Linked DNA regions of Tamandua tetradactyla. The protein of the gene in region 2 interacts with the protein of the main gene of each other region in a pairwise test. Links are inferred from orthologs where the notes say so. Each region holds a gene or a part of one and is shown on either strand. Other genes may lie near its edges.

The links.
Region 1: the proteins of ARRDC3 (region 2) and OTUB2 interact in binary tests that used the Homo sapiens proteins (3 or more experiments, as listed by UniProt). The two-hybrid records come from large-scale screens. The link is inferred for Tamandua tetradactyla from reciprocal best matches to the Homo sapiens genes ARRDC3 and OTUB2.
Region 3: the proteins of ARRDC3 (region 2) and TNFAIP3 interact in binary tests that used the Homo sapiens proteins (3 or more experiments, as listed by UniProt). The two-hybrid records come from large-scale screens. The link is inferred for Tamandua tetradactyla from reciprocal best matches to the Homo sapiens genes ARRDC3 and TNFAIP3.

What each region holds. Positions count from the first base shown.
Region 1 is NC_135338.1:54,988,252-54,998,491, reverse strand, and holds the start of OTUB2 (ubiquitin thioesterase OTUB2), read right to left. Parts: upstream 4,364-10,240; 5' UTR 4,154-4,363; coding exon 4,151-4,153; intron 1-4,150. UniProt on the Homo sapiens protein: Hydrolase that can remove conjugated ubiquitin from proteins in vitro and may therefore play an important regulatory role at the level of protein turnover by preventing degradation.
Region 2 is NC_135347.1:39,849,173-39,859,315, forward strand, and holds the start of ARRDC3 (arrestin domain-containing protein 3), read left to right. Parts: upstream 1-5,513; 5' UTR 5,514-5,758; coding exon 5,759-6,038; intron 6,039-9,940; coding exon 9,941-10,022; intron 10,023-10,143. UniProt on the Homo sapiens protein: Adapter protein that plays a role in regulating cell-surface expression of adrenergic receptors and probably also other G protein-coupled receptors.
Region 3 is NC_135351.1:38,075,911-38,086,572, forward strand, and holds the start of TNFAIP3 (tumor necrosis factor alpha-induced protein 3), read left to right. Parts: upstream 1-6,292; 5' UTR 6,293-9,193; coding exon 9,194-9,599; intron 9,600-10,662. UniProt on the Homo sapiens protein: Ubiquitin-editing enzyme that contains both ubiquitin ligase and deubiquitinase activities.

The DNA.
Region 1 (10,240 bases), on a different chromosome or scaffold from region 2:
TTTACCATTTTCTTTTTTAATATTTTTATTGTATACAACAAACAAACATACAAACTTTTTTGACATACAAACATTCTATACATGGTGTACAATCAATGGCTCACAATATCATGACATGGTTGTGTATTCATCACCATGATCATTTTTTTGATCATTTGTATCTCTCCAGCAAAAGAAATAAAAAAGAAAAAACTCATACATGCCTACCCCTTACTCTTCCCTCTCCGTGACCACTAGTATTCCAATCTACTCCATTTATTTTAACCTTTGTTCCCCCATCATTTGTTTAATTTTTACCCATATTTTTTCCTCATCTGTCCATACCGTAGATAAAAGGAGCATCAGACACAAGGTTTTCACAACCACACAGTCACATTGCAAAAGCTATATCATTATACAATCATCTTGAAGAAACAGGGCTACTGGAACACAGCTCTACAGTTTCAGGTACTTCCCTCTAGCTTCTCTAACACACATAAACTAAAAAGGGATATCCATATAATGCGCAAGAATAACCTGCAGGATAATCTCTCAACTCTGAAATCTCTCAGTCACTGACACTTTATTTTGTCTCAATTCTCTCTTCCCCCCTTTTGGTCTAGAAGGTTTTTTAATCCCTTGATGCTGAGTCCCAGCTTATCCCAAGATTCCTATTCCACATTGCCAGGGAGGTTTATACCCCTGGGAGTCATGTCCCATTTAGAGGGGGACGGCAGTCAGTTCGCTTGCTGTGTCGGCTTAGAGAGAGAGAGAGAGGCCACATCTGAGCAACAAAAGAGGGTCTCTGGGGGTGACTCTTAGGCATAATTTTAAGTAGGCTTAGCCTGTCCTTTGCAGGGATAAGTTTCATTAGGGCAAACCTCAAGATCAAGAGCTCGTCCTTTTGATTTAGTTGTTCCCCCTGCTTAGGAGAATATAAGGAATTCTCCAAATAGGGAAGTTCAGTTTTTCCCCCTTTCTCCCCATTCCCCCAAGGGGACTTTGCAAATACTTTTTATTCACTGTTCAAATCACTCGGATTTATTGGGGCATCACACTAACCTGGAAAAACTAAGAAAATGTCATGCCCTATTCAAGGTTCCATATACTTATGGTGTTCGATTAAACTGACCATACAAGTTAAATTAAGAAATGCACTAGTCAAGATATAAATTTTGCACCAAATAAACTTTTCTACCTTTAGTCTCACATAGAAGTTGAAGTTTTAAAATATGAATGACCATCTATTTTCAGCACTCTGCAATGCTGACATTCCTTTGTGCTTCCTCATACAAAGACATTTTTCACTTTGTACATTTAGTCACTATCATTGTACACTCTAGGCATTCCTAGATTATACCATCTCTGTCTTTATCGTCTATCCTTCCTTCTGGTTTCACATGTACTCCCAAACCCTTCTCCCTCTGTACTATTTTGTTTCTTAAGGGCATTATCTGACACGTGGGTTCACTTTTTTCCTTGCATATGCCTGTCTTCCTCTACTAGAGCATTAGTTCCATGAGGACAAGGACTTGTCTGCCTGTCACAGCTGGATCCCTAGTGTGTGGCACACAGTAATGCTCCAAAAATGTATACCGAGTGGCTGGTTGAGCAAACGGTGGATCTGGTCTCGGACACCAGCCAGCCGCCTCCACCTCTCTATCCATTCCAATTCCAGAGATCTTCCAAGTCAGCTATTTCTTACTTATCAGTCCTCGGTTATGGTTACCCCCATATTCAGAATAAAACCCAAACTCCACGATGTGGCATGTGAAGCCTGCACAGCACACTCTGACCCTCACTTACTTTTCTAGACTCATCCCCTCTCCCTCCCCAAGCTCCTGTATCCACACAGGCTGCCTGTCTTTCCCAGAATACCCATTCTTGACCATATTTCCAGGCCTCTAAGCACACTGTCTTACCTGGAGTACACTCTGCCCAATTGCAAACTCCTAAACATACTAACATATTTTAATACCCAACTGAGAAAAAGACCTCCTCTTGGAGCGTCCCCCTCCCTCCCAGAGTCCACCAGCTTCCTGCAGGGAGGAGATCCCTTAGACCAAAAGCAGTGGCTCAGGGATCACTTGTGTCCACCTCCGGTTTGAACACCAGGGAATGAGCTCCTAAAGTAGGTGGGGACATTGTCTATCCCCTTACTGCCCAGCATGGGGCCTGGGGCCTGGCCAGGGTGCCTATAGGGGCTTGTTTAGCAACTGAAAGAACAAAGCCCTTTGCTTTTATTGTTTATGTCTGACTAACTCATTCATTTAACAAAGGTTAATGGCACTCCAAGCACGAAACTCTTCAGAGTCTGTAGGGCCCGTAGCCACAGGCAGCCCCAGGCCTGGCTCTCACCCCCTTCCCCCCTGCCCCCAAGGGGCTTCTACCTAAGATCCTTCCTCAAGTTCAGCCAAGTGACTTTCAAGTGGGAAAGGGAAGAAGATACTGTATTTTTCAAGGATCTGTTAAACTTTTCTGCCTACCACACATGCACTCAAACAATGTGAAAAACCACCACACAGCTTAGCATACAGTAGATGCTCAATAAGTAGGGCAGGAGCAGAAAAGGACAGACCCTGCCCAACATCTGCCTCAGGCTATTTCTAGGCTGACATCCTATTTAGTGGGTTAACCCCTTTATCCATTTCCCCATCCCACAAGCCTCCACTGATGGGACAAGGGTCCGATTAAGAGTTCAATGCTCCGTGCATTTGACCCCATCTGTCCTCTAACTTCCTGGCTCCTAAGTCCTGGGCAGATGGGGGAGTGGAGTCAGTGACATCACTGTGCAGCACGAAGGGCAGAAGGGAGTCCCAGCCCTACCACCCCTGCCATGCCCTCAGCAACCCAGGTGCTGATGAGAGGATATGCCAGTCTCCAGCCCCAGGCCACCTCCTGCCACTCCCTGATGGGGAAGCAAAAACACCTAGGCCCCTTCCAGAAGCAGCAAAACCACATAAACCCTTGGGCCCCAGGTAGAAGCAGGAAGCTGGAGCCTCCAGATGCCTAGGGGCCCGCAGCCACACCACAGCAGCTTGTCCCTGCAACCCCAGCTCAGGTGACCCAGCAGCCCACAGCACACCCAGAACGTGCCAGGCCATGACCGAGCTTTGACCTGTACCCATTCCAGCAGCATCCCACAGGGCTGACCCATTTCCCAGCCCACGCAGGGGTGGGGAGAAGGCTGACCCATCATCACCTGTGCAAACTCATTTCCAGGCTTCTGTTATGACAGTAGAAGCTGCAGCTAAATACCTGGGGCTAAGCACTTCCCTCCATCCACTGCAGCACTGGGGAAGGGGTGGCAGCGAGACATGAGCCTGGGGCTGCTGGGATAACCCCAAGCCAGGCATTACCCTTACATTCCTGGGTCAGCATCACATCCAATCCCCTGCAGAAAGCCTGACCCCCACGGCAACTGGCAAAGTGGGCTTATGTAACACAAAGAGCACTGGACTGGGAGTTCAGAGGTATGGGTTCAAGGTTCAGGTCTACCAACATCAGTACCAGCCCTTTCCCCATATGGTTCTGGGTTTTCCCCTTTGCCCAAGCCTGGGGCTCTTTCTACTCAGCGCCGACTCAGATCAGGGGTTCCTTTAGTCTTTGCTTCACCTAGAGCCCTAATTTATGCACCGCACAACTTGAGGCAGCCTCTCCACGTGGATTCTAACTGACAGACTCTCTGTTGCCGCTGTAGGGACACAGCCAATATCCAGCAGCCCACGGAACAGGCCACCCCTAGATCCACCCTGGGGGGTGCGGGGCTGGGGCCTGGTGGCTAAGCCCACGGGTGGGGGCTGTCGTGGGCCGCCGGCCGGGGGCTGCTTAACGAAGAGGGGTCGACCCTTCGCCTTGGAGCGTCCCTGTCCCCGCTTCCAGTCTTGTCGGGGACACCCAGGGTGGACGCGCTGGGAGCGGGGAGATCCGGCTGGATCCCCTTCACGGGGCGCCCACGGGGAACAGCGGGGCGCGTCCCGGGCCCTGCAGGGCCTTCCGAGGAAGGACGGGGCCCCCAGCACCTCCTGGGCTCGGCACTCCCGCCGCGGGTCAGAGCGCGGAGGGGACGGAGCTGGGGACCAAACCTGGCCCCCGGGAGTGCACTTGCGCCCGGGCGGCAACCCCGCCCACCGCGCCCACTCCCCTTTCCCGCTCCCCCAAGACCACTAACCATAGTGACCGGAGCCGCTGGGCCAGGTCTACCCCCAGCGAGTAGCGATCCCGTGCGGGAGGGCGCCGCGGGAGGAACCGGCCCGCTTCGCCGTTGGGTCGGGCGGCGGGGGCCTCGAGGGCGTGGGGGTGTGCAGAGAAGACACCCGACCGCTCCGCAAACCAGAGGCGAGACTTCCACTGTGTCCCAGCAAGACACACGCCCCGCGATTGACGTCTGAAGCGGGCAATCAGAAGCCGGGATACATGACGTCACAGAAAGTGGGTGGGACTTCACGTCTCTTCAGCCTATGTTTTAGGGCTCATTTGACAGGGCACCACCCTATTTTAAAGACACAAAAAGCTTTTAGCTAGCAAAGTTAACCCAATCCAGAAAGACTGGTCCTTCTTCGTAGCTCAAGGGCCTTTGAAAAAAACTGTAAATTGAGGTCTTCTGAGAGATTAGCTCGCCCTCATTAATTCATAAATAAGGCCACTTAAGTATAGCTGGCTCAAGATCAGAGGTATTTAAGGACCACAAGTCCAATAACATTAAGTTAACCTCTTGCCCCTGTGCAGCTTCCAAATAATATTTCCCCCCTCCCAACTCATGATTCAGCAGGTTGCCTGACACCCAATTAATGTTTGTTGAATGAATGAATTTCCAGGATGATTGGGTGGGTGGCTCTGGAATTACATGTATGTATCCAAGGCCCAGACAGTGAAACAGGTCTGGGTGACTCACCCCGCGTACAAGCTCATTATTACAGAGTAGCAAACATAGGAATATTTGTCATCCAAAGATTCATTCATCAGCCCCTGAGCCCTGGAGGGGCTGCTTTAGGTGGGGGAGGGAGGATTTATGGGGAAGGGGATGCTGATGCATTTCCGCACCCATTGTAAGTATTAATACTTCCACCTATTAATTTTATTGAGTAATTCCCTTCCTATCCCACCCCACACACACACTCTTCTACCACCTCCCACCTCCCAACCACCACCACTGCCCAGGTGCCAGGCTAAGCTCCTGGACAGATGAGACATCTGTGCCTTCCAAGTGGTCATCATTTACTGGGGGATAGGAGCTGGGAATTGCTGGAGACTCAGGAAGCAATAACGATCGCAGCCTACTTTTATTGAGCACCTACAATGTATCAGGCGCTGCCCTAAGCCCTCAACATCTATTATCTTACTTTATTCTCACGACTAGTTCATGGGGCTTTGCCCTGTTATTAGTACTACTAACCCTATTTTACAGATGAGGAAATCAAGGCATAGAATGATGAATCCCACAGCACAAAGTGGGATTCGATCCCAGGTAGTATGACTCCAGAGCTGCTCTTGAATCCCGTTGGCAGATTTTGGAGAGTTTCTGCTTTTTGTTTCTATAGCCAAGGAAGCTGAGAGGTGACAGGACTAGCACAGTGACTGGGCTGGGCTGGATACTGGGACTTCTGACTCCTCGGATAGTGCTCATTCCAGGACGTGTTAAGCTTTACCTGTGCAGGAATGACTGAGCGAGATGTGGTCTCACAGGGTGTGGGTGTGGGGTGGGGGCAAGGAGCCTTTGCTTGGTCACCCCCTTCCAATCTCTCCTACCCCCTCTATAGACCGAGCTGCCTTGGTGCATGAAAGGAGCACTGGACTGCAGTGAGCAAGGAGCTTTGGACCCCAGGTTGACTCGAGTCTCTGCCACTCACTGCTGTGCATCCCTAAGCAACTTCTAGGCTCTCGATGGGTTTGAATCCTCACTCAATGAACGGGTTGGATAATCTGGACAGTTTTTTAAAAAAAGTTATTTTTGTTTTTTTTTTAATATTATTGGTAGTGAAGCTTTTAAAAAGAAAAACACAATTTTACTTAGAATCTCAGTATATATGTAATGGAATCTTTGTGCAGTTGTAGTTTGAATGAGCAGGACAATTGCATCTTCTTAATTAGTCAGGAACTAATCAGGCCTCTTCCTGGGCTCTCTATGCACTGGTTAGAAGAGAAAAAATGTTTGCAAAGAGACCATTTGGGTTTATAGCCGGGTCCAGGTTGAAAGTGTGAACAATCTCTAAAGGGACTGGGGAGTTCTCCTCACAGCAGGGGAGAAACATGTTCCATCTGGAAGAAATTGTCTCTTCCTCTTCCTGCATCCCTTCTACCTGGTGTCCAGGTGCCTGGATGGGCGACATGAAGTGACTGTTCCCCTCAACTCACAACTTGGGGGAGAGTGGGGCCAGGGGTATCTTGTCCTACATTAAAGGTCCCGGGAGCCCGAGTGCTGGACACTCAGCCTTTGGGGCCTGGCTCTGCGACCCGTGCAGCTCATGCGTGGTCTGCCATTTCTCTGGCTGCTTAGACCCAGAGAGCCTCCCCAGACCGGCCCCACCTCACGCACTCTGTGTGGTTCCAGCCTGCCTTTCTAATCCTTTCTCCTTCACTTTCCTACTTCCCCAACATGTGAACTTAAGGCAATAGCTTCAAGTGTCCAGAACATTCCCCATGCTTTCCCAGCTCGAAGCCTTCGCTCACACAGTACCCTCTTCCGAGAATGGCCATCTTTCAAATTCCGGCTCCTCTGAATTCCCGTCACACATTATCTGCTCTTTTATGGTGCCCTTGCTGCTGTGATCTGGAGGGGGTGGTGTACACCCCTGGGGATGGAGATGGGGAGGGAGCCCCCAAATGAACGAGATTTAATTTTCCACTAGCCCAGGGAGGTAGCACACACCAGGAGAGTTAATGTTAGTGGAAAATGAACAAAAGCAATGTGATATTTCTTCTCTCCAGGGATTAGAGATATAACCCCCACTGGCTGCTTCCGGGCTTCTCTCAGAGCCTGGTCCAGGGCTCAAATCCTGACTTGGGCCCCCCACCCCCACCCCCTGCTGGGCTCACTGGGCTTCAGCCCAGGGTCCCACAGTGAACTTGTCTGTGCTGGCGGGACCCTCTAGTGGCCCCCGCGTGGTTGTACTTGGGTCCCCTGCCCCAGCCCTCAGTCACGGGACACACCCCAAGGGAGACTCTTGACACCCACTGCTTCCCAAAGGACAGAATGGCATCTTTCTTCCTGTCACTCCAGGTCTCCCTCTGGTGTGTGTTTCTTGGGAAGACCTCCCAGGAGAAGTTTTTTTGTTTTTTTAAAAAATTTATTTATTAATTTAAAAAAATTTGCCAACAAACGAACAAAAACCTTAACATATGATTATTTCCTTCTACATATATAATCAGTAATTCACGATATCATCACCTAGTTGCATATTCATCATTTCTTAGAACATTTGCATCAATTCAGAAAAAGAAATAAAAAGACAACAGAAACAAAAATAAAACGAAAAAAAAATTATACATACCATACCCCTTACCCCTCGCTTTCATTGATCACTAGCTTATCAAACTAAATTTATTTTAACATGTGTTCCCCCTATTATTTATTTTTATTCCATATGTCCTACTTGTCTGTTGACAAGGTCGATAAAAGGAGCATCAGACACAAGGTTTTCGCAATCACACAGTCACGTTGTGAAAGCTATATCATTATACAATCATCATCAAGAAACATGGCTACTGGAACACAGCTCTACATTTTCAGGCAGTTCCCAGGAGAAGTTTTGCTTCCCCTGAAACCCTAGCATGTTTGATCTTGGACAAGTATCTTACACCGGACACAGTTCCCTTTTAGGTTTGTATCTTGGAGATTCAGACTAATCGCTGCTTCCCGATATTGGGTCAAATAATTGGGTTAAAAGATCTGCTCACTCATCAGCACTTTTTGAACATTTACAAAGTGCCAGGCACAGCTCAAAGAGAAAGAAAGGGGGAATAAGGAAAGTGGCGCTGTTCTCTGGGAGCTCGTGTGGGAGGAGGAGGTGCTCCAGCCTTACCTGCGGTCTTACTTCTCCTTGCCTTGAATTTCTGGTCTGGTTTACGTGATCTGTCCTGAATTTTTGTTGTTATTTATCTTTTCATTTGAGGTGTGAGCTATGGTGGGCCACCTTGAATCTGTGATGAAACAGAGGTGGTATAAACGAACCAATCAGTAAATGACACACTTGTCCCTATGTTCTCTCATGGGAAGCGGGTGTCCCTGCCCCCACTGTCCAGACAACAGAATGGAGGTTTGGAGAATGAAGGGTTGTGCCCAAGGCCACCTGGCCAGGCAGCAGGAAGGCAGGTTCTCCCAAGATCCACCAGGCCCCAAGCCCGGGGCTATTGACACAACTATCCAGGGCTTCCCTGCTCCTTGGCCAGTCCTGCCCAGGGACGGCCAGGAGATGGCGATGGAGCGCCGGCCCCATGGGAGGCTGCTCTGGCTTTTCAAATGCCAGAGAGAATCTGAAGAACAACCATTTTACAAAGCTTGGTAAGCATCATATTGCAATTTACTTTCCAGATTTACCCCGGCCACAGCCCTGGCTGGGGTAATACATGCCCCTATTTCCAAGCCAGCTGCCAATTTGTGGGCTCCCGAGGGCCTAGGAAATTGATGTTCCTACAGTTCAGAACCCATACAGCCCCCTAGACTGGGCAGAAAATCATTGCTGGCTTTTATGAGAAAGCATTGGGTGTTGTTTCCAGGAAATTGAGGCCAGTGGGGTATCCCCAGGTTGGAGAGAGCTGCCTGTCCCAACTCTGGTCCTCACTTATTGGAATGGACAGGGTACCTGGCTCCCGCTACAAGACCTTGGGTGCCTCCATGACAGGGCCTCAAAATGGCCCCAATGCCCCCACCTCCTTGCGCGATCCCCTCCCTTATGTGTGGGCGGGAACTTGGACTGGCTTCTAATTAATAAAGTACAACAAAAGCGATGGACTGTCACTTCTGAGTTACCAAAAGACTGTGGCTTCTGCCTTGCTTGCTCTCTCTTGAACCCTCGTTTGCTCTGAAGGAAGCTGGCTGCTGTGTGGTGAGCTACTCTGGAGAGGTCCCTGAACAAGGAGCTGAGAGACACCCTCAGCCAAAAGCCAGCAAGGAACTGAGGTTGTCAAACAGTCTATGCACTTCCTCTGCCAACAGCCACATGAGCCAGCTGGGAGCTGATGCTTCCTCAGTTGAGCTTTCAGATGAGACAATGTCTCTGGCAGACCCTTGTTTTAAGTCTCATAGCTTGCTTGCCTTTAAGATAGAAAGCTCCAAGAGGACAATACACTGTCCTACAAACCTAGTGCAATGCCTGGGAGATAGTAGGTGCGTGTGTGTGCGTGGTGGGGGGAAACATGAGAGCCACCTGAGCCCCATTGGCCAGTTTAGTAGATATCATGAGGTCTCTCTCTTTTTTTTTTAATCGATAAAACATCATACATACACAAACATTTTTAACATGTAAACATTCCATACATGGTATGGCTCACAATATCATCACATAGTTGTGTATTCATCACTGTGATCATTTTTAGAACATTTACATCACTCCAGAAAAAGAAATAAAAGGAAAAACATCATACATCCCATACCCCTTAGCCCTCCCTGTCAATGGGAGGTCTCATTTTTAATCAGATTTTCCCAAACCCATCTTCCATATTTGGTAACAATCTATCTAACTGTTTGGGAATAATCTAGTAACAAAAACTTGATTATATGTGTATATATATGGAGAAAGAGAGATGGAAACCTTCCTGTTTTCTATTTTGTTTCCATCCCACCTGTCCTAACATGCTGAAGGCCAGTGGGGCCAGGAGGCCTGCAGGGCTCAAAAGGGCCCACAGGAAGGCCCTGCTGGCTCCCAGGAGATGGGCACCATCCCTGCTTTGGGTGGGGGCTTGGCTGTCCCAAGGCCTCTTCCTTCCATATTCTTTGGCAGTAGCCCAGGATGACTGGAGGGCTGGTGCCTGGACTTCTGTGACTTATGACACTATGGAGAGGAGCAGAAAGGGAGCTCTTCCCCAAATAATCCCCCTAGGAAACTCACCCTATGTGACTGTTGGGGAGGCAACTTGCCCTGGGAGGGGACGTGACCCCAGACACCCATGAGCACCCGTGAGCGACTTAAGGACCAAGTGACAGACAGGGAACATTTTCTATGTCTCCCACCCCCCACCCCCAGTATCCCTTACTTTTGAATCTTATACTTTCCTTTAAATTCTCACTTAGAGATTCACTCCTTTGCTTAAGACTTTCATTTAT
Region 2 (10,143 bases):
ATTAAAAATCAATAAATATCTATCAAGAACATATTATTTATTATAATATGAAATTTTGTATCCTCATTACATAAAGCCATGCCCACTCAAAAGTCATAAAATAGTTGAAAAAAGTGATTTATCATTTCTGATCCTTCCTGTAGGCCAGAAACCACCAGACGAATAAACTTTCCTAACTCACCTAACTTAATATGCAATAGTGTTATAAATTCACTTAAGCGACTATCCCTTAGAGTCAATAAATCAAATCTGTTATCAAAAACACCCAAGCTTTGGAAAATACAATTCTCAATTTTGCTACTTATTCAATGTGGTAGCCAGTAAAATTCCCCAACAATAGAAAAGCTGGTAACATGAGAGCTGAGCTGATTCAAGATAGGGCTTTTGTGTATAAATATTTAAGTACTACCAATAAAATACTAGAGATAGTAAAATACTAAGTCCACCATCTCTCCCAAAGAGTAAAATTAATTCTGTCCTTGTATAATCCAGAACTTATCACTTAGTTGAGTACTGAAATAGTTTTCAAAAATCACTAATCCTCCGAGATCTAACTCAGTTTTTAAAATACTTAGTAGAATCAATATTGTCTTCTAATTTCCATTCATTTCTTTCTCTATGTCTACCAATATTACCATGGTAAGAAACTCCAAGCTTCTGTATAGAGCAGGTATGGTCATATCCTGCCCATAAGTGGAGAATCCTCATTAAATATAGTAATAGAAACAGAATACATTCTCTTTTTTAATAAATCTACTGAGGGTTATCATAATATTTTTGGTCTCTGAGCACAAAATCAGAATACAAATATTCTCAAAATATGAGAATTCTTACATTCTCAGCTATTTTATTATATTCTTTCAGCCCTTAAATAAAGTAGGATAAATTTTGAAGTATGAAAAGGGAAAAAATACCATTGATTACTGCGTTACTATGCTTTTTAGTAAATATCTCAAATTGCTTATGTAACTCATTCTCCAAAATGTCTCTATCAGTGACAGAAGAGAGAAAGACTGAGGAACAAGAGAAAAAGGAGGCATTAAATGCTTCCAGTACAATTATTTTCTCAGCAAATACCTCCAATCTTTTCACTGTAGTGTCATTGCTTTTCTTTTTTATTTAAAATGTGCACATTTGACCTAGTTCAGAAAGGGCCGGGTATAACTGGGATTGAAATACATATTAAACTAGCAATCAGATAGTCCTACTCGAGTAAGTAGTTAAATAAATTATGGTTCCTGGTACCTGCCCGTGCAAAAAATAAAATAAATAAATAAATTATGGTCATTCCACATGGAATACTATGCAGCCATTATGAATCTTGTTAAATACATAATGAAGTATGTGTGTACGTGCATAATTTTTTTCATAGATTCAAAAGCACACAATTTTTTCATTTAAACATCTATTAAATCATAATGCATTTTATAATCCATAGCACATTACAGCTGCCAGCAAGGAGGCAGTCACAACATAGTTGTAAGTACCATCAACTTGGTCATATTTAATGTCCATGATTTTGTCTTTTCGTTTGAGTTTTGTGCATTATTGTCACTGCATGTGCTGTGTTTAATCCCATTTAATATGAATTCCTAGTTGTTGTCTAAAATCTTCAGTTGATACTTCATGGCAAATTAAGAGTACAACTACATCAAAATCTGAAGACAGGGTGAAAGCAGCCTAGGACAAAATTCTGGAGACAATACCACAGTTAAGACAATACAGCTACACAAACCACTCAATGACAAAGAGGCTAACAAAAAAAATTCTATGTGATAGCAAAGCACTGGCATAGCTTAACTGGCAATATTCTTCTTTCTTAGTTGTACATCTAGATGGAAATAATCATGGGTGATTTTTCTTAAATCAAGAAATAAAAATAAAAGATTCAAAGGCACTCACATGACACGTATCACACTACGTCTTAATGAGAGAACAGAAACCAAACTTGGTACTGAATTTTATCACAAAGTATATGACACATTTACATGCCCTTTAAGTATGAAGAACTTGATTAAAATCACAAAAAAACTATTAAATATAAAAAAAATCTTATTCATTTTGCTAGTAATACAGCAAATCTTCCCTCCACTATCCACACAAAAGTCAAGTTTTTTGAATTTTGAAGATGTTAAAGAGTTTAAAAGTTGTGAAATACAGAATTAAGACTTAAAAAAACTCTCTTAATTCTACAACACTCAAGTCTGTCAGGTGCCGGTCAAAATAAAGATTAAGTATGGATTTCATATTTTTCTTTAAGAAACAAATTCTGACTATTGGTATGGTTTTTCTTACAGTTATACACAAAAGGGGCTCTTATACAAAACTTTCAATTGAGATGGCTTGCTTTCTAAAGTGCATTTAATATAATTTTACGTGAAAACTCCAAACTTTGCAGCTATTTTGACATATCTCTTCAATATTATATATCTTAAGAGTGATTATATTCATCAGTTTTTAATGGAGTTTCTGAGGTTGAGTTCAAACTTTTATACACTAAGGTGGAATAGCCATTTAATTCAAAATCCAAAAAACAAATACCATGCTAAAAGATTCCCAATTAAGGTCTGAAGAAGCTATAAAAGGGAGGGCTTAGTTATTCTGTCTAGTTAAAACTTTATTCAGTTGTGCCAACTGAATCTATTGGAGGGATTAGAAGGAAAGGAGATAACATAGTAGTGGGATGTTGTTCTGGGCACAGAAAGCAGCATGTAACTGCACATTGGCAACAGCGGGACATGCTAACAAAGGGGACAGAAGATGTACTTGACAGGAGTATAGAGAGTTAGAGGATGAGTAGGAGGAGATGACATATGAGACGTAGGCTGGTTGCAGTAGGAAAGAGTCTTGGTGGTTAGATGAATTGCTTAAATTTAATGTAAAAAAAAAAACAATAAGGGCCCCATGAAACACGCTGAGAAGACCAAGATAATGGCTACAGGACAGCATTTCAAGCTGCCTAAAGAGTAGTTAGACAGGGAGTCCTGAAAAGGGGAGGTTATGAATGTCAGAATCACAAGAAAAAGCACTCAAACTTTGGCCCAAGTTTCTTTGCTTTTTAGAGATGAAAAGATAAGGGATTTAGAGGTGTCAGAGTTTTTTGTTTCGTAAAAGCAGTCGAATTTTCTGGTCTTTTCATGGTTTTAAAAAATAGGAGGAGGAAAGCAGAATGAAGCAAGTAAACTCAAGTTTAGGTACTTAAGGTAAGTCACGTGACCGATTTTAAAGCGAAGGAAAATGATAACTAGGGTTAGTGAATGGGAGCCAAAGACAAATGATAAGGGATAAAAATTTCTTTCTTGGTAACTTTTCACTTACTAAAGGGTTTAGAAAGACACGGTAAAAAGAAAATAAAGAAAAAAGCAAAATAATAATAAAGATAATGATATATAATATCCACAAGGCTTTAAACAGAAGGAATACTGTAAAATACAGTGATAGTAGTGAATTATAATAATTTAATGTGTTAAAATAATTTTCCAAATGACAGGTAAAATTCTGAGGGTTCCTTTTGATTAACTGCAAGTCTAGGTTATTTAACAAGCTAATGCCCATTTCTTTAGACATATGCTATACTCTAATGGAGACATTTTACTAAAAACACTGAAGAATTCAGTCATTGTTCACTATCCCTTAATAATTTAAAACATAATTTTAGAAATGAAGGGCTTATTGTGTAGAGCACTTTTAAATCCATTCCTTGTTCAATGTCATTTAAATGCTTAAAAACTGACATTTTAGCAAATTCAATCAAGTTACCACTAGGTGGCGAAAAACAACAAGTAGTGTCTGTTACAGCTTGTAGAGGTCTCAAAAACTTTACCAACTTGAATTTCCACCAGGTGTCAGCCAAGAAGGAGAAAAAAAATACTATTTTCCCCCTACACAAATAAATACACAAATCCATACTTTAAAACATAACGATCTAAACTCTTTGTCAGAGATAAATGGCTTGCCCATTAACTGTCCAGATAGTTGGCATGTTTGGACTCTACAACACTGTTGAGTCCAAGATATTGAACAGCTAAAATCCAACTAAATAAAATTTAGTTTCTTCAGAAAAAGCAAAACAAGATCGATGAGTTTAGTTTATTGTGACTCATAGGCTCAACTTATACAAATACAGCGCACAAAAGAATCTAAAATATTTACAAGTGAACAGCCAAAAATCTTCTGAAGTATATTTGGCCAAATATATATATATAGTTCCAGATTCATATTTTTTCTTTCTATATTTCTCTTTTATATGCAATTCTGTTTACTGCTAATACTGCTAGATGAGTTTACCGTTGTTATGCTTAGAACCCCAGTGTGCTATTATCAATGTTGCTATTTTTTCTTAACAAATATTCACAATAAAAAGGAAGCAATGCATTTCTCTTTAAAATGTATTATGAGAATTACTGTGTTGAACAGTCCAAGACTGTCAGCCGAAAATCAAAATTAAAGCTTTACAGTATTAAGCCCCATTTAAAATATCAGGCCATGCTTTTTTTAAAGCCATCTTGTGTGCTACACCAATTTCTAACAAAGATTTTTTCCGACCCTGTTCTAAACAATATGTCAGCTACACTACCATGCCATGCTGCCTTTTATAAGGTGTTACTTTTTAAGGCCAAATTCTATTCTTACTCTTCTGGACACAGGATCAGCAATCATGTCATCTTCTGCAAATCTGGCCGTAGGTGGTGTCTTTAAAAAGGACTTTTTCTTCCTTCGAGGAAGTGGTCAAGCCTTTTTCTCCTAGTGTCATCATGGAGACAACTTGGTTGGTTTTCGTTGCTAGCTAAGGACGAGATGGAGAAGAAAGCAAGTACACTGATTAAATTCTACTTGATTTTCTTCTTGCTCCTTATAGTATTCGCTTTTAGGATCCCTTTGGCTTCGACTGAGTTCATTTCGTCCTGCCTACAAAGTACTGATATAAACAATAAACCAAGAATGTTCTTGTCTATGAACAATATTTCTTGTCTGGTTTTTATTACGTTTTCTTTTGAAATTCGTTAGATTATGCTCGGCAATCAGCCGCTTGCCCAACCGGTTTCTCCCCTTCCCCCATCTCCCTTCACACATCACTTTTTCCTCCTCCCACCCAGGCCGTGGGCAAAGCCCTGCAGCGCCGGTAACGCACGCCTCGGGCCGGTCCCTCACTCGGCAGTTTATCCTTACTTGGCTTTGCTAACAGCTCCCCACCCAGCCCTCGGCCCCTAGCGCCCACTCTACCATTATCTTTCTATTAGAGTGTGCTTGGTAAGGGGCTCCAGACGGGACGTCGAGGGTTTACGGTAGCCTGCCTACCAATAGGAGCCCACAATGAAGAGAAGTCAGGTTGAGCGCGCCGGCGGACCCAGCGTCTCCTTTCCCCGGCGCTACACCTACTGTACCCGCGAGCGAGCGAGCCAGGGAGCGAGCAGGGCCCGGGAGGGGGCGCGCAGGGAGGGCGGACAGCAGCCGCGGCGTGCGCGTGCGCACTGGGGTTGTTTTTCACAAAGCTGCTCTTAAAGTGAGCTGGCAGCCGCCAGCCGCCCGTCTTTGTACAGAGACCACTGAGAAGAGCAGGAGCGCGGAGGACCAGCCTCTCTGCTGCCCTGACTTTTTAAGAAATCTCAATGAACTATTTGTAAAGAATCGCTGATCCTGCCTGCAAGCTTTTGCACGGCAAAGACATTGATCAGTGTTAAGTAAAGATCTCATTTTATATGCGATCTTGACTTTTTTTTTTGTCTTACATTATATTTTTGTAGATTTTGTTATAAACATGGTGCTGGGAAAGGTTAAGAGTTTGACAATAAGCTTTGACTGTCTTAATGACAGTAATGTCCCTGTGTATTCTAGTGGGGATACAGTCTCAGGAAGGGTGAATTTAGAAGTTACAGGAGAAATCAGAGTAAAATCTCTTAAAATTCATGCAAGAGGGCATGCGAAAGTACGCTGGACTGAATCTAGAAACGCCGGCTCCAATACTGCCTACACACAGAATTACACTGAAGAAGTAGAATATTTCAACCATAAAGACATCTTAATTGGGCACGAAAGAGGTAAGTTTTTGTGTAATTTGAAAGTCATCAACTCCGTTTTCAATGGCAAAGTATTTTTTACGATTTTTCTGTATTAATGTAATTTATTCCTAACATAGAGCAGTTTGATAAAGGTTAGCAAAGTTGGAAGATTTGGATTCTCCTTGACATAGTGTTTTAAGCCGTAATGCATGCAAGCATCTGCAAAGTGACTGCAAACTGCACTTATTCAACTACCCCTAGTATCAGGCTCGGTCTGTGCCATACGTACTTGCAATCCATTTGCACCTTACTTATGATTTTTCCTTAAATCTAATCCAGTAATTTTACTAATATGTTTTCAAATGAATTGCTAAAAGCTGCTTTCCAGTATTAGATTTTTTCCTTTTACTTTGCAGCCTGACCTCTAAAAACTGAGTTTCTGTGGAGAAATGGAATAACATTATTAAGTGGGTAAATAGGTGTATTTCATTTTTAATATGACACGCCAAAGACCTGAAAGGAGTGATCATTGTTATTTGGTAAAGGGTTTCTCGTGGCTATTTGACATATGGTATCAACACCCCACGTGTTTTCCCCTATTCTTTGCAATTCCTTTAGAAAATTACATCAAGCATTTTTTATTTTAAAGGTCAGTATTTAACATTATGGTACAATTCAAGTCAGTTTTAGAAGCCATTTAGGGCCAGTAATTTTCTTTTCTGAACATCATGTCTAACTTTGGAACGTGCATTCAATGAAACCAGTGCCAGTCAAATGGAATTGAAAAGTATTCGGCACACTGGATTTGATTTTTGGTTAGAAAAGACAGCTAAAGGGTTACCAAAGGGAGAAGGGGTCCCGAGATCGCCAATCTATTGTTTAAATGGTTACATTGTGGAAATATAGGAGACTCTAAGCTTGTTTTTCTAAGTTTCCACCCTTTGTTAGAAGCGGTTCAATCCTGTTTCGGACCAGTTCTGGGGGGTGGTGAGGAGGGGCGCTTGTTCTGCTCTCAGCAGATTGGTTACACGCGTCAGGTGGTGGCGATGACTTAATTCCTAGCCCAAGAAGAAATAATGTTAAAACTGGTTATGTAATTTTTGTGCTTCTCTTTTTTAATGCAGTATTTAGTTCAAATACTGACGATTTTTCAGAAAGAATAGAGGCATATTTTAATTCTTTTTTTATATGCATCCCTGGGGAAACTGCTAATTGACCTAAGGCGAGTGTAAAGATGATTTGAGTTGCAGAATGAATGCACTATTTTTGAGAATATTAAGATGCAATCAATTCTTTAATAGGGTTTTTCATAACTATACATAGGTAATTTGTATCTTGAAACAATTTCTCTTTTTTTTTTTTATTTTTGCATTAACACTAGTACAATATGCAAATGCCTAATGACAGTCCTGGCATTTGTTGAAAAGCAGACACATGAGTTTGTGTAAGTATGAGTGAACCTTTCTGGAGATTGCAGCCTTTTTTAAAAATGGATGAGAAGAAACAAAGGTTTTCCTTTAAGGAGTTGGGACTTATGGTGGAGGAAAAGGAGCAAATATGAGCTGTGGGGACAAATACAATTTCATTACTTGCTCCAAAATTTTATGGTAAAAAGACTATTTACCCCGCGACCCTCGAGACCCCAAACCCGTGCAAAGCATGGACGAGCTCTTATGCTGGAATAGTTTCAATGACTTAAAACTGGGACCTCTCAAACTAGCCTGGTAGCTAAAGCCCCGCCTCGGGCGGCCCGCGATAGGCGGAGCCGGGTTTGTTAGCCTGTTGCTAAGGCGATGCCAGGCGCTGATTGGATTGGGCGCGGGCGGATGGGGAGAGAAGGTTAGTGCCGGCAGGGGCGAGGCTTGGAACCGGCGTGCGCCGGTAAAGGTGCCTCTACTGCGGTCGCCTCCGCCCTTATTTGCGCCCCTCCCGGGGCTTCTGGAGACGCCCGCGGCCCATGTCACGTCTCTTTCTGTCGCCCCTCACCCCGCCCTACTTGTGTCCACAGAAAAAAAATGAATTCAGGCTTCACCGAAAGGAGGTTGTGTTGGCCTTACAGGTCCCTGATGGCTCTGGACACAACTTTAGCTGAAAATCCTATTCGTAGGGAAACTTGCGGGAGACTAGCAGGGCCCTGCTTGCTGGGTAGAAGGTGTTTTGCTCAGCCAGTCACCAGACCGGGTACCTTGATTTGACCTGAGAGCGATAACCAAGACTGGCCAGTAGAAGTAAAAGTGATTCTGATATCGAAATCTGGGTGAAGGTTTCGGCAAGAATATTCCCTGCCCACCCCCACTGCCCCTTCCCTATTGTTTCCCGGTGCTCCCGCCCCAGTTTCCCCCGCCGCTGACTGTAAAGGTGTCAGGGTGGCCCGAGCCAGATCGAACCGGTCGCCGGCTGGGGCGTGTAAAGCGGAAGCGCTGCGGCGCCCTCGCCCCGCCCCCTCATCTAGCAGGGTAGGCTGCGCGGGCGCGAGCGCCGCGCAACGTATGCCGTATGTATAGCGCGGCGCGCGGACGGCGGCGGCGCGCAGGCGGGCCGGCTGGGATCTGCTCGCGCCGGTTTAGGCCGGTCCTCTCCTGCTCGGGTCTAGTTCTTGATTGACAGCCCGGCACTTGTTTACCACGGTGCCGCCGCCGCCGCCGCCGCTCGCCTCAATGAGACTGCTGAGCTGGCACAAAAAGGGAGCGAGAAGGGAAGAAAGGGAGAGGAAGGCAAACTTTGGGCGGCTTCGAGGGGAGATCGTTTAAATGGTCCACAACTCACCAGCCAGTTTTCGGGGCTGAAATCCTTTCAGATTTCACAGGGACTGGGAAAATAGTACTTAGATATAAGCGAATCATCATGTTTTTTTTTTTCTTAAATAAAAGTGCCGACTTGTAGGTGTTTTTTTTTCCTTTATCGTTTGCTGTGAGGGAAGCATGTTTTTATGTATATTCAATACTTAGGTGAGGAAAAGGTAAATGATAGTACCAGGCTCTTGTGGCTAATGATAGAGGTTTCTAAACCTAAATGAGACATTTATACGATTACATTTTCTAGCACAGAACGCTGAAAGAAACATTTTTTAAGATCTCGAACCCCCTTCCACGTTTAAGATATCTTTTCGTGCTACTTAAAAAATAGTACATTTGACCAAAAGAAATTGGTGTTAGAGTAAAGATTCTCTCTTTTTCCTAGCGATTGGCACAGCCTTATTTATTAGACTTGATTTTCACGGGTGTGGGACGATGCTTCCCAGAAGCAAACACCCTTTGAATCCTATCGTTTATAATTAGTAAGGTATATTTTGTATATATGCAAATTTTGGCTCTTGCTATAGGAAATAGGGGAAAACTGAGTGTTGTCATCATTTTAAGTTCGATAGGGAATTTTTATTTTTAGCTATGAAACATTAAAATCATATTCCTTCTCTCTCTCTTTTTTTTAATTTCCATGTCTATTTGACAGAAAGTTTTCTAATGGTGTTAGAATTGTAACATGTATGTTTTAGTCACATCTTTGGTGTCACTGCATCTCCCTCCCTTCTTCCACCCTTCCACCCCCATGTATTTTTAAGTATTTACCTGAGCTGTTTTAGTTATGTGCCTTATAGCCTTAATATGAAAAACAGTTGAAGACAAAAATTAGATTATCTTGATATGATTTGAGACCCTGAAACTTTTACGAATATTAGACTCAGATACTTTACAGTTCGGGTCATTTTACATTAAAAAAATATATATCTATGGGGTGTAAGTAGTAATTATCCCATTTTACAGATGAGGCCACTGGATTTCTAATTTTTGTCTTCCCCAAAGTAATATAGATGGGATTAAAATCGAGATCTACAAACCTTGTGGCCTTAATCATTATTGAACATGTTTAAAGTTAAGCTACCGGGAGGAATGTGTCACGGATTAATAACAAGTTTTTTGCTTTTTTTTTTCTGTTTCTTTTAGATGATGATAATTCTGAAGAAGGTTTCAACACTATTCATTCAGGAAGGCATGAATATGCATTCAGCTTCGAGCTTCCACAGACGTAAGTATTATGAGTAATAGGCTGTTTCATAAATACCCGTGGTCAAAAGCACTCTTTTAAAATTAAATATTCTAAATTTAAGTATTTTTTAGTAAAGAAAAAAACCCTTTTCCTAGCTGGA
Region 3 (10,662 bases), on a different chromosome or scaffold from region 2:
AATTCAACTTCCTCATTTGGAGAATTCCTGATTCTCACAAGCGGTGGGGACAACCAAATTAATAGTCTGAGCCCTCAGTCTTGGGGTTCACCCCTATGAAACTTATCTCCACAAAGGACAGGCTAAGCCTACTTAAAATTAGACCTAAAAGTCACCCCCAAAGCACCTCATTTGTTGCTCAGATGTGGCCTCTCACTCTCTCAGCTGACACAGCAAGCGAACTCACTGCCCTCCCCACCTCTACGTGGGACATGACTCCCAAAGGTGTAAACCTCCCTGGCAATGTGGGACAGAAATCCTAAAATGAGCTGGGACTCAGCATCAAGGGATTGAAAAAAACCTTCTTGACCAAAAAGGGGAAGAGAGAAATGAGATAAAATAAAGCGTCAGTGGCTGAGAGATTTCAAACAGAGTTGAGAGGTTGTCCTAGAGGTTATTCTTATGCATTATATAGATATTCCCTTTTTAGTTCATGGTGTATTAGAGTGGCTAGAGGGAAGTACCTGGAACTGTAGACCTGTGTCCCAGTAGCCATGTTTCTTGAAGATGATTGTATAATGATATAGCTTTCCCAATGTAACTGTGTGATTGTGTAAACCTTGTGTCTGATGCTCCTTTTATCCAGGGTATGGACAGATGAGTAAAAAATGTGGCTAAGAAATAAACAATAGGGGGAACAAAGGTTAAAATAAATTGGGTAGATTGAAATACTAGTGGTCAATGAGAGGGAAGGGTAAGGGGTATGGCATGTATGAGTTTTTTTCTTTTTTCTCTTTTATTTCTTTTGCTAGAGAGATATAAATGTTTAAAAAAATTATCATGGTGATGAATACACAACTAAGTGATGATATCATGAGCCACTGATTGTAGCCATGTCAAGAATGTCTGTATGTTTGTTTGTTGCTCACAATAAAATATATATATAAAAAGAGAGAGAGAGAGAGAACCCTTTGGATGGAATATATGATATGCAAATATATCTCACAAAAATCTGCAAAACAAAATCGGAAAAAAAAGAGGCCCCTCTTCTTTCCCATCTTCTCTATTTCCCCCTAACTTACATAAAAAGAGAGATCACTTCATAGGATTAACCCCCCCTCTTAGGATCAGTAAACTGCATGGATGTGTTTGGACATGCAAAATATTAGATTTCCTTAATTTTATGACAAACTTTTAAAAAATTAAAAAATTTCTGACATAGGAATTAGTCTGAAAATTCGCATAAGGAGAATCTTGCCAAACACCAGGAAGTGAAGTGATGTCACTGCCTGTACTTCTGTGAGTTTAGAAATGTTCATAGAAGAGGACATTCACTCAATCATTGCATTCATTTCATAAGACCTTATTTATTGAGTACTACAATGTCCCAGGCACACTTCTGGGCACAAGGGATACAGGGATGGACGATGACAGATACATATCCAGTTCTCACGGCATTTCATTCTAGTGTGGAAAAGATAGATTAAAAAAAACAGACCAATAAACAAAGACTTTCCAATTGGATAAATGCTGCAAAGAGAATGAAACTGAACAGGAAGGAGGTGTTGGGAAAGACTTCTCTGATTAATGACATGTGAGCAGAAAGCTGAATGCCAAGCGGATGGGAGAGCAGTCCCTACAGAGAGAACAGTAAGTGCAGAGGTCCTGTGGCAGACCAACCTGAGCTCAGCAAGATGAGGGAACCTCAAGACTCACCCCTGCTGAGTTATTTGCATTTGCAGCTCGAAAAGAACTTCAATTTAATTTAAATTTGGATTCCTATTTGTTGAATAAAATATCTACCAAAAGATACTTTATGATGTTCTACTGAAGCTAAAAAGAAAATCATGGCACAAGCGTGCATGGAAATGTTCTAAAGGAAGCAAGTATTCATCATCGGAGGATGGCTGCTCTTCCATGGTTTCTGGTCAGGCAAGGACCAAGGGCCTTTTTGGACCTTGTCCCCATGTAGAGATAAAGGTACTTAAATGTGCCATGGAGATAAAGGACATGCTTAGGTAATGGCAAATTCCTTTCGATAGCCAGAACAAGTATGTGTCCTTGAGCCCATTATCTTGAAGGATGATCTCTGAGTTTCTAGCTGACTCTCAAGAATAGCTTGAAGGGTTATGCTATGTTTTGGTTAATCTTAAAGTTCTAAAACAGACCAGAAGAGCCAACTACTGAAAATAGCCTATCACAGAATGCAATGTACAGCGATCTAGGCCAAAATCAGCTCAAGAGACTTACACACCTCCAAGACGCCTTAAAACCAAACAGGGATGGCTACAGTGAGAGGAAGTAGGAGTGGAATCATGTGGATTCCATGCGTGCCAGGGAGTAAAGGAAGGGAGGTGGGAACATTTCATGTAATGGAGTTGCCCCCCCCACCCGCCATGATGTTAAATTCCTGGCATGTCTTACAACCATGGACTCTCAGAATCCTGGATTTATAGTAGCGCCTTCTGCAGCCTACTCAGGTGCTTGAGATTCCCACCATTAAGCCTAAGGAGTTCTTTCCCAAGAAACGTAATGCAATAACACATGGTAATCTGCTCGAAACAAATGGACATGACTGATCTTATTAGATGAGTCAGTTGCAGAAAGCTGGGCACTGGGAGAAGGAAAACGAAAGGGTCCCTTTTCATGGAGATGAAGGGTGGGGGTGGCAAGCAGAGCAGGACTACAGGACCCCAAACTGGACTGAAGGGACTGATGGACAGAAGGAGAGAACGGGGCACGTCAAAGGGAAGATCCCGGTGGCCTGCCCTGTTCCGGACGTTCCCCTGGGGAGCATCCGGCTTACCTCCAAAGCCAGCACTGACCAGTCTGTTCCTGGAACCCTGTTTCAGGGCTTTCCTGTCAGGTTCATACCTGGGCATTCGTAGGCACCACCGCAAGAACTGAAATGAAACCAAAAACTGGATCTTTATATTCATGATGTAAAACAAGATTCCTTGCCAAGTGTTTCAGCCAAGTGTTGACAGGAAACTAAGCCAGAATTCATAGAGGGATCGGATTTTCTGACAAGTTTTGGATTTCAGCACACTGTGTTTTAGGCAAAGTGGAATAAGAGGAGCTGTCCTAGGCTGGAAGCCAACTGCTTCCCTCCCGGGGGAGGGTCTTGGTTCCCGTTGGGTTAGCTCCCCGTCCACCCCAGCAAAGCCTGTCAGGGGTCTGAGGTTCCCCGATAAGAAGCAGGATCTCCAAAGAATTGGGTATTCATGTGATGATGAAATTTACAGCCTTATTTCCCAGTTCTCGTTGTCCTTACGGCCCACAGCATCTAGTGTGTTCTCAGAACTAGCGCTTGCAGCTGCCCTAAGTAAAGGCCAACCTTAACACTTCAGCCCTCTCTGAGCTCAGCCAAGAGATCCTGAGGTTTGAAGCAGGATTCAAAGCCCTCCTCAATCACTAAAGTGCTATACTTACATAAGGTTGTTTCCAAAATATGTTTATTGTGAATCTTCCTTTTGATAAAGCACAATCCCAGGAAGGAGGGGTCAGGGGCAGTGCGGACAAGGGGCACAATGGGTTTGATTTCAGTTTGACCACGGATCCCAAGACCTGGGGTTCCCCATAATTTCTGGAAGGCCTTGTCACTGTCTCTTAAGAGAGGCTCGTGAGCTGCGGCTTGAAAAGAGCCAGATTTGGGTCCCCTTCCCCTTATCACCTATTGGCCTCTCTTCAGTCAGGTGGCTACTGCTTCCCCGCCCCCCTCCCCAGTATCCTGGGAGGCCCCTCCTGGGAATTATGCGGCATAAGCTGCAGGCTGCAGGAACAATCCACAGACTGTCCCATCCCAGAGGCCACGCATGCTCACTGCCACAACTCATGCCATGTGAACGCTGGCCCCGGGTAGAAACTGACATCTCCCAGGAACACTCCCCAACCCTCGGCGTGCTCCAAAGCCACTGTCCTCCAACAGGGAGATGCGGTTTCCTTCTGTGTCCACCAGGTGTTAAAGAACGTTCCTTCCGCTTTGCAGCACTCTGTCCACTTTGATAAGGTCCACAGCAGAAATTGAAGCCCTTTGCAAGGCTGTTGGGCACTATCTCCTTGGTTTCACTTCTTCCCACAAATTTCCCTAAATTTTATATCCCCTCTGCCATCAGGGATCTCTCTTCCCTCTTCTACCCATTCTTTCTGATTCACCACTAAGAAAATACTCCCTTGGTCTTGCCAAGTGCTAAGTACTCGGAAAGGAGAGCTAAGTTTACAGCCACAGGCAGCCTGACCCCGGAGGTGGAAAGAACAGCAGAAACTAGCCAGGGAAGGGCAGGCAGGTCTCAGGACACCTCTTCACAGGGACCATGGCTCAGTGGTAGAGTCACAGGAAACAGAGGAAGGGAACAAAGCTGAGGGCTCCAGACCTCTCACCTTATTATATGTACTAGCGGATACAATGGCAAAGCAGCTACTTCGGGGCAGTGAGAAGTAGGAGACCTAAAACGGCCTCTCAGCCTTGGTCTGTCATCTGAGCCCCCCCTTTCTAGAGCTCATCAAACCGGGGGAAAAGACACAAGGCAGAGAAGGGACCGTGGAAGCTGCTGGAGGAATCCGGGGGACTTGTCAGGGCAGAACCAGTAGGAGGTGAGAGAGAGCAGGCGACGTCTGTCTACAAAGAAGCATGAGGTGAGAGGGGTCCACTGGCTGGGATTCTGGGCAGGACGCTCAATAGCCAATTTCCTCTGGCCTCCAGCAAGCCCAGGAGGCTGTTCCTGTCAGGATTCCTGCGGGCTCAGTGCCTGCGGTGGGGGCCGTGGGGGCCCTGAGACTTTAAATCTGCGCAGGGCCCTTCTGGACGCTGGGGGGTGACCTAGAAGTTAAGACCCGCCAGTTTGGGCTCCGGGGTAAGACAGACCCTGTCCTGGTCGCGGTTCTGCCACTGACTGGTGGTGTAGACTTAGGCAGCTTGCATAGGCTTCTTCAGCTTCCATAGCTTCAGCTGCAAAGTGGAGTTGTTGCGGAGTTTAAAGGGCAGGCCACATTGCAAACATTTAGTCAAGAGTCTGGCATTTGGTAAGTTCTGGATAAATGTCGCCATTGTAATACTACCAGCCTGAGGTGCCAATGCTTGAGTGTGGACAGCAGAAAGCATTTGTGAAAGGGAAGGGGAGAGATGCCAGCAGTTGGGGGGGGGGTGAGGGGGCATCTTCAAGTACCCCGAGTGCACTTAAGGGCGCAGTGGTCCAGAGGTTTCCATCTGCTCTAGATCACCCAACCTGGGGAACAGGTGCCTGGGCCACCTGGGCATAGAAGGCACGGAGGCAGTTAAAGGAGCCCTGGTGCCCTGCCCCCAACCCACAGCCCTCAGGGCCAGGTGCGCTGGTTTCCCTACTGCTTCAGCCCCCAGGGGAAGATTAGCCAGCAAGCAGCACCTGGGGAGGGGGCTAGCACGGTGTTACCAGTCACAGGTACTTGGGGGTGAGCTGGTTGTGAGAACATCTAAAAGGACACCCCATGAGGCCTTGGGGACAGGCAAGGACGATAATGGACCTGGCCGCAGAAATGGAGAGGGGCACCGGAGCCGGCTAGGGCTGGGGGCTGCTCCGGTGCTCACTGCAGCTCAGCCCGGCCTGGCCTCGGAGGAAGCCTGGCCTCGGGGGTGTCACTAGGTGGTCACCCCGCCAGCCCGGCCCCGGCTAGCCCATCCCGTGCTCAGCCCCGAGTTCTGCAAGCCGTCCCGGCTCCCGGACACCAGGGTGGTTTTTCGGGTTTCTCTCTTTTATTTCCCTTCTTTTTCTCCACAGCCGCTGATTTTCTGCAGAAAAGCAACGGAGAAAAAGACCCGATTTCGTTTCCCGTTCCCATCACCGCGATTTCCACATGGATGTGACGTGGGGCCCGCTTCCGAAATGCCCAGGTGACTCACCGGGGACCCCCGGGCGGGCCGCGGGCTTTCTCGGCGGGGCGGGGCGGGGCGGCCCCCCGCGCCCCCTGGTGGCCGGCGAGGGCAGCGCGGGCCCCGCGGCGTCACGTGACTGGAAAGTCCCGAGTGGAAAGCCCCGGCGGGCGGCGGGCCCTAAAACAGAAAGGCGAGAATAGAGAACTGCCCAGTCTGCAGCCTTCGCGGCCCGCCGAGCGCCAGCCCCGCAGCGAGCCCGCGGGGGCGGAGCGGCGACAGAGGGCGCCGGGAGACCAGCGGCGGCGGCACGACCCTCCCCGGCGAGCCCAGCGGCGAGCGCACCCGGCCCTGCGTCCATGGGGCTCCCGAGCCGGCCAGCACGCTGACCAGGACCTCGGATCGCGACAGGGGGCCGCGACAAGGGACCCCGCGCCGTGGCCACGCGCTGCCGGTGCGTACTTGGCGGGACTCTCGGGAGGGGCCCGTCCGGGTTGAGAGATGCCGCGCCAGATGTTGGGGTGACAGCCCTGGGCGCCCCCCGGCGGTCTGTTCCTTGCACATACCGCCGAGAACCTGAGCCGCCGCTGGCGGGGGGAGCGTCCGGCTGGTCGGCGGGCCGCGGGCGCCGAGCTCCAGGAGGCGTCTGTTTGGGAACTAGGGCGCTGCATGCCCGCCGCCACGTAGCCTTGCACGACAGCCCGGGCCTCTGCGCAGACCTTGCGGCGCCGGCCCGTTCAGGGCGGCGACCTCGACGGGGAGGGGGCTTAGGTCCTCACCCAGCCAGGCACAGGGTGTGGGGGCTCCGGTTCATTCACCTGTCCTGGGACCGCGGTCAGACGCTCAGTGCCCTGTGCAGGGGGCGGGAGGGCGTGTTCACGCTCTGTGGTTGCAGTGGGGTCAGGCAAGTTTGCATGCAGAAGTGGGTCGTGGCCTGCCTTTGGGGGATCCAGCCGAGGAAAGCTGTGCAGTCGGTCTTTGTCAGCCCGGGACGTCCCACATCCTGCCACCTGGTCGCTCAGGAAAGTCGCGGTGTTAGGAAAGGAAGGCGCACCACTCTCCCAGACCGCTGGGTTTTCAGTTCTCCCTGCCACTGATGTGTCCTTGGAAAGCCTGCCGTCCAGCGGCACTGGGCGGCGTTTTGCTGGAGACCCTGATGTCCCAGATTACAGAGCAGCCTGGCTCATGCCCCAATCTCATTGGCTGAATTGCTTCTTTGATTTTTTTGCGATTCTTTGCACAAGTTTTGAATTTGGGGATCTAGTGAGGAATTTGTTGATAAATAATTCATAAGTATCCCCATTGTGGACAAGAATATGTGCCCAAAGTAGAAAAATAAAACAGGGGGACAGAGACTTTGAGTGATAAGTTCTATAGCATCTCCTTGGTCCTAGTGACAAAAATTGGGAATTTATCTTGACGTCAAAGTGAGGCAACAACTGTTTAAAAAAAAAAGTTACCAGTCATATTGCATTCCTTTGAAGGAGGCAATATTGTTTGTTATGAGAGTTTAATCTATGAGTGAGATGACTCTGGCCAGTGATACCAACATTTGCATGTCCTGCCTATGGTCTGAGGCTCTCACTGTTTTAGATATTTGCAGAAAGATCTTTAGGTTCTGAGGAGAAGAGAGACAGAGAAACAAGAGGCTATTCTTAGCTTGTCTAAAAGCATTTGGCTGCCTGTCTGTCTGAGAGGCCTCAGGTGTGGTGCTCCAGGCAGGCATAGGAAGACCTGGCTTCTAGACAAAGCTGTCCCCCCAGGGATGGCCGAGTGGCCTGAGCAGGTCCCCTGCTTCTGGGCCTCCATTGCCTTAAGTACAGGCTTGAAGGGCTGTGAGGTTTCATGGAGGGGGTGTAAGGTCAGCATCAAGTATGCACCTGACTTCTACAGATGGTGCTCATTAGAGGGATGGATGGACAGATGAATGAATGAATGACATCGTGAAAGGGACTTTAGCTCTGCCACTGGGAGAAGTGTGCATGGTATTTTGTCCCGTCAGTGTTTGTCCCTTTGTTATTATTTTGCCCACTTTCATCTGCAGCAAATGACTAACCTCAAAGGACAGTCACCATCTTCCCAAGAGAATGACTTGTCCCAGGTCCCACTCGGCCATCAGATTAAGAATCTCAATCCAAAATTATTCCCTGCTCTTCAGAAGCAAACTCTCTCCTTTGAGTGGGCCATGAGAGGTTAAAACACTTTTTCAATGACTTGAAGAGATCCTGAACCCACCCCAGAGTGGCCTCCCTAAAACCTGGGCTGCTTCTCTTCCATGCTTTGTGGGGTCAGTGTCCTCCTCAATGGAAGCTTGACTTGCCTGCACAAAGAGTGCCATACAGGGATGGGATATGCAACATCCTGTGCCCTGAAATCACCTACGTCTTCTTCCTGAAATTAGGATATGTGACGAGGCAGCCTAGAAGGGCCGGTGAGGAGGAGCTGGGTCTCCTCAGCTACAGGCTGGAAAGCTCCCACGTCCCGCTGCTTCACATCATCCCACTCGGCTGGCGTGGGCTGTCTTTCATAAGTCCTGGCTGGACCTTTCTTCCTGCTTCCCACCCTTCATTTCTTCCCACCGGTTGGTGATGTTTGTAGATTTGGGGGTGAAAGGCCAGGTGGGAAATGCATCCGTGTGGTCACCTGGAGAACGATGATGACATTTGCTTGGCAGTCGAGTTGAAATCACTGCACTCCAGTGCCTGCTCTCAGAAGCGCATAGCTCATTATTCTGTTATTTTCTGTCCTACGTATTATTCTGACGTTGTGGGGCTCGGCGGAGAGGTTCTGAAGGACAGCCGACTGCTGGTGCTGACTAATTGCAAGGCAGCTTGCTGGAAATAGGCTTCTTGGTTGATTATAAAACAGCCTGTTTTAATTCTGTCAGTCTTTGGTGCAAGGAGAAAACGTGGATCAGCAGCCAAGGTGACAGCAGAAAAACCGTAGGCTTTTCCCCCAAATGTTTAGTGTCCTAGGACAGGAAGAGAGTGCTTAAAAGAAAGAAACGAAGACTCTGTGTCAGAACAAGGATTGCAGGGTAGGCTGGGAGGGTGGGTGGGGGGAGGGCCTCCAGGCTTGCTGGCCACACCATGCCTGTCACCTGTCACCCAGGGGCAGTCCAGGAGGGCGTCAGAATGAAATGGGAGCTGAGATGGAGGAGGCGGCCCAGTACCTGAGAGACATGACTGAAAACCCGGGTTATTCCCCTCCTCCTCCTCCTTCTCTTCCTCCTCCTCCTCGGTGCCCACTCCCCACCTCCCTGCTCTTGTTTAGACTAATCTTTAAAACAGTCTAGTGTGAGTTCATCTTTAGGGCTGGCGAGTGTCCTGGAAATAGAGGTGACAGATCTTTTGCCCACCGGTTAGGGTAATGGCAGGCTCAAACCCTGGGGTGTCCTGCAGGCAGATATGTAGGAGTGATGGCAAAGCTGGGCTAACGGGGTGGTTTTTCCCCCCTTCTCTTCAGGTGTGCTGGGGCACGATGGCTGAACCAGTTCTTCCTCAGGCTTTGTATTTGAGCAATATGCGGAAAGCTGTGAAGATAAGAGAGAGGACTCCAGAGGATATTTTAAAACCTACCAATGGGATAATTCACCATTTTAAGTCCATGCACCGATACACCCTGGAAATGTTCAGGATGGGCCAGTTTTGTCCCCAGTTTCGAGAGATGATCCACAAAGCTCTCATCGACAGAAACTTCCAAGGTGCCCTGGAAAGCCAGAGGAAGCTCAACTGGTGTCGAGAAGTCAGGAAGCTGGTGGCGCTGAAAACGAACGGTAAGATGTGCTGTCACTTCTTCTGTCTGGGAGAGGGTCTCCATTAATTAAATTTCACTAGCATTAACGCAAGACTCCCATCTGCTGAGGCTATAGCAAGGCAACTCTGCGAGGGACTCGTGGTAAATTTCCTGGGAATACTTTTCCTGGGGATCTTCTCTAATTGTGTGTAGTAGAGAGCAGAGAGCCTGGGGACTGAAGGATGCATTTCTAAACCTTTAGATACACAGTAAAGCAGTTGACGTGTGTCTCATTCTTGTGACTCTTTAATCATCTGTAAAATACCCTTCTCTGCCCAGTAATGGAAATATTAAAAGGTTTTCAGTTCAAACGAAAAGCATGGTGTGAAAATTGGCTGTTACCACTTTTCCCCATTATAATTAGAATATGCCTGTGCTGGCCCTAACTTCTAGAATTGATGGCATGCAAAGCATTTTAACCAGTGAATAGCTGTTGTGGACAGCAGGGCTTCTTTTGGCCCCTCCCTCTAACCTCAGTTCTATTGCCTGTGGTCCCAGAAACTGAAATAGGAAAATACTGGAGATTTGTAGCCCAGATTTTAGATCTCTCCGCCACTGTTTTTGGCAATTCCTAGTCACTGCTTTTCTTCCCGTCCATTCCTACTGCCTAGTGGTCCTTTACCACTAGCAGCTGTTTGCGGCTTTAAGCCTCACCGTTTTGCTTTTTAATTATTTCCATTGAACCAGAGCATGTACTGGTTGAAGAAACATCCAAGCATTGTGCTTTATGCAGACACAAAATTCTACTTTGTGGATGTTGATATTTGTTGCAAGTGTTCTTACATCAGTGATATCCCAAACCATCCCAACCAAGGAGCAGATACTCTTTGTTGACCATGATTATGATAAGAACATTAAGTTAATTAACTTAATTGGTACCTTCACTTTGGTCTTTCTTGATTTGGGTGATTTGGAGTGATTGGTGGACGTGGTTCTCTTGCTTTGGTCCTGGGTGTCTTGGGCATTCACTCAACCTCTTGCTTCTATTGGCGAAGCATAGATAGAGTTTTAGAGGCACAGGTAGAGAGAACTGGGCACCTGGA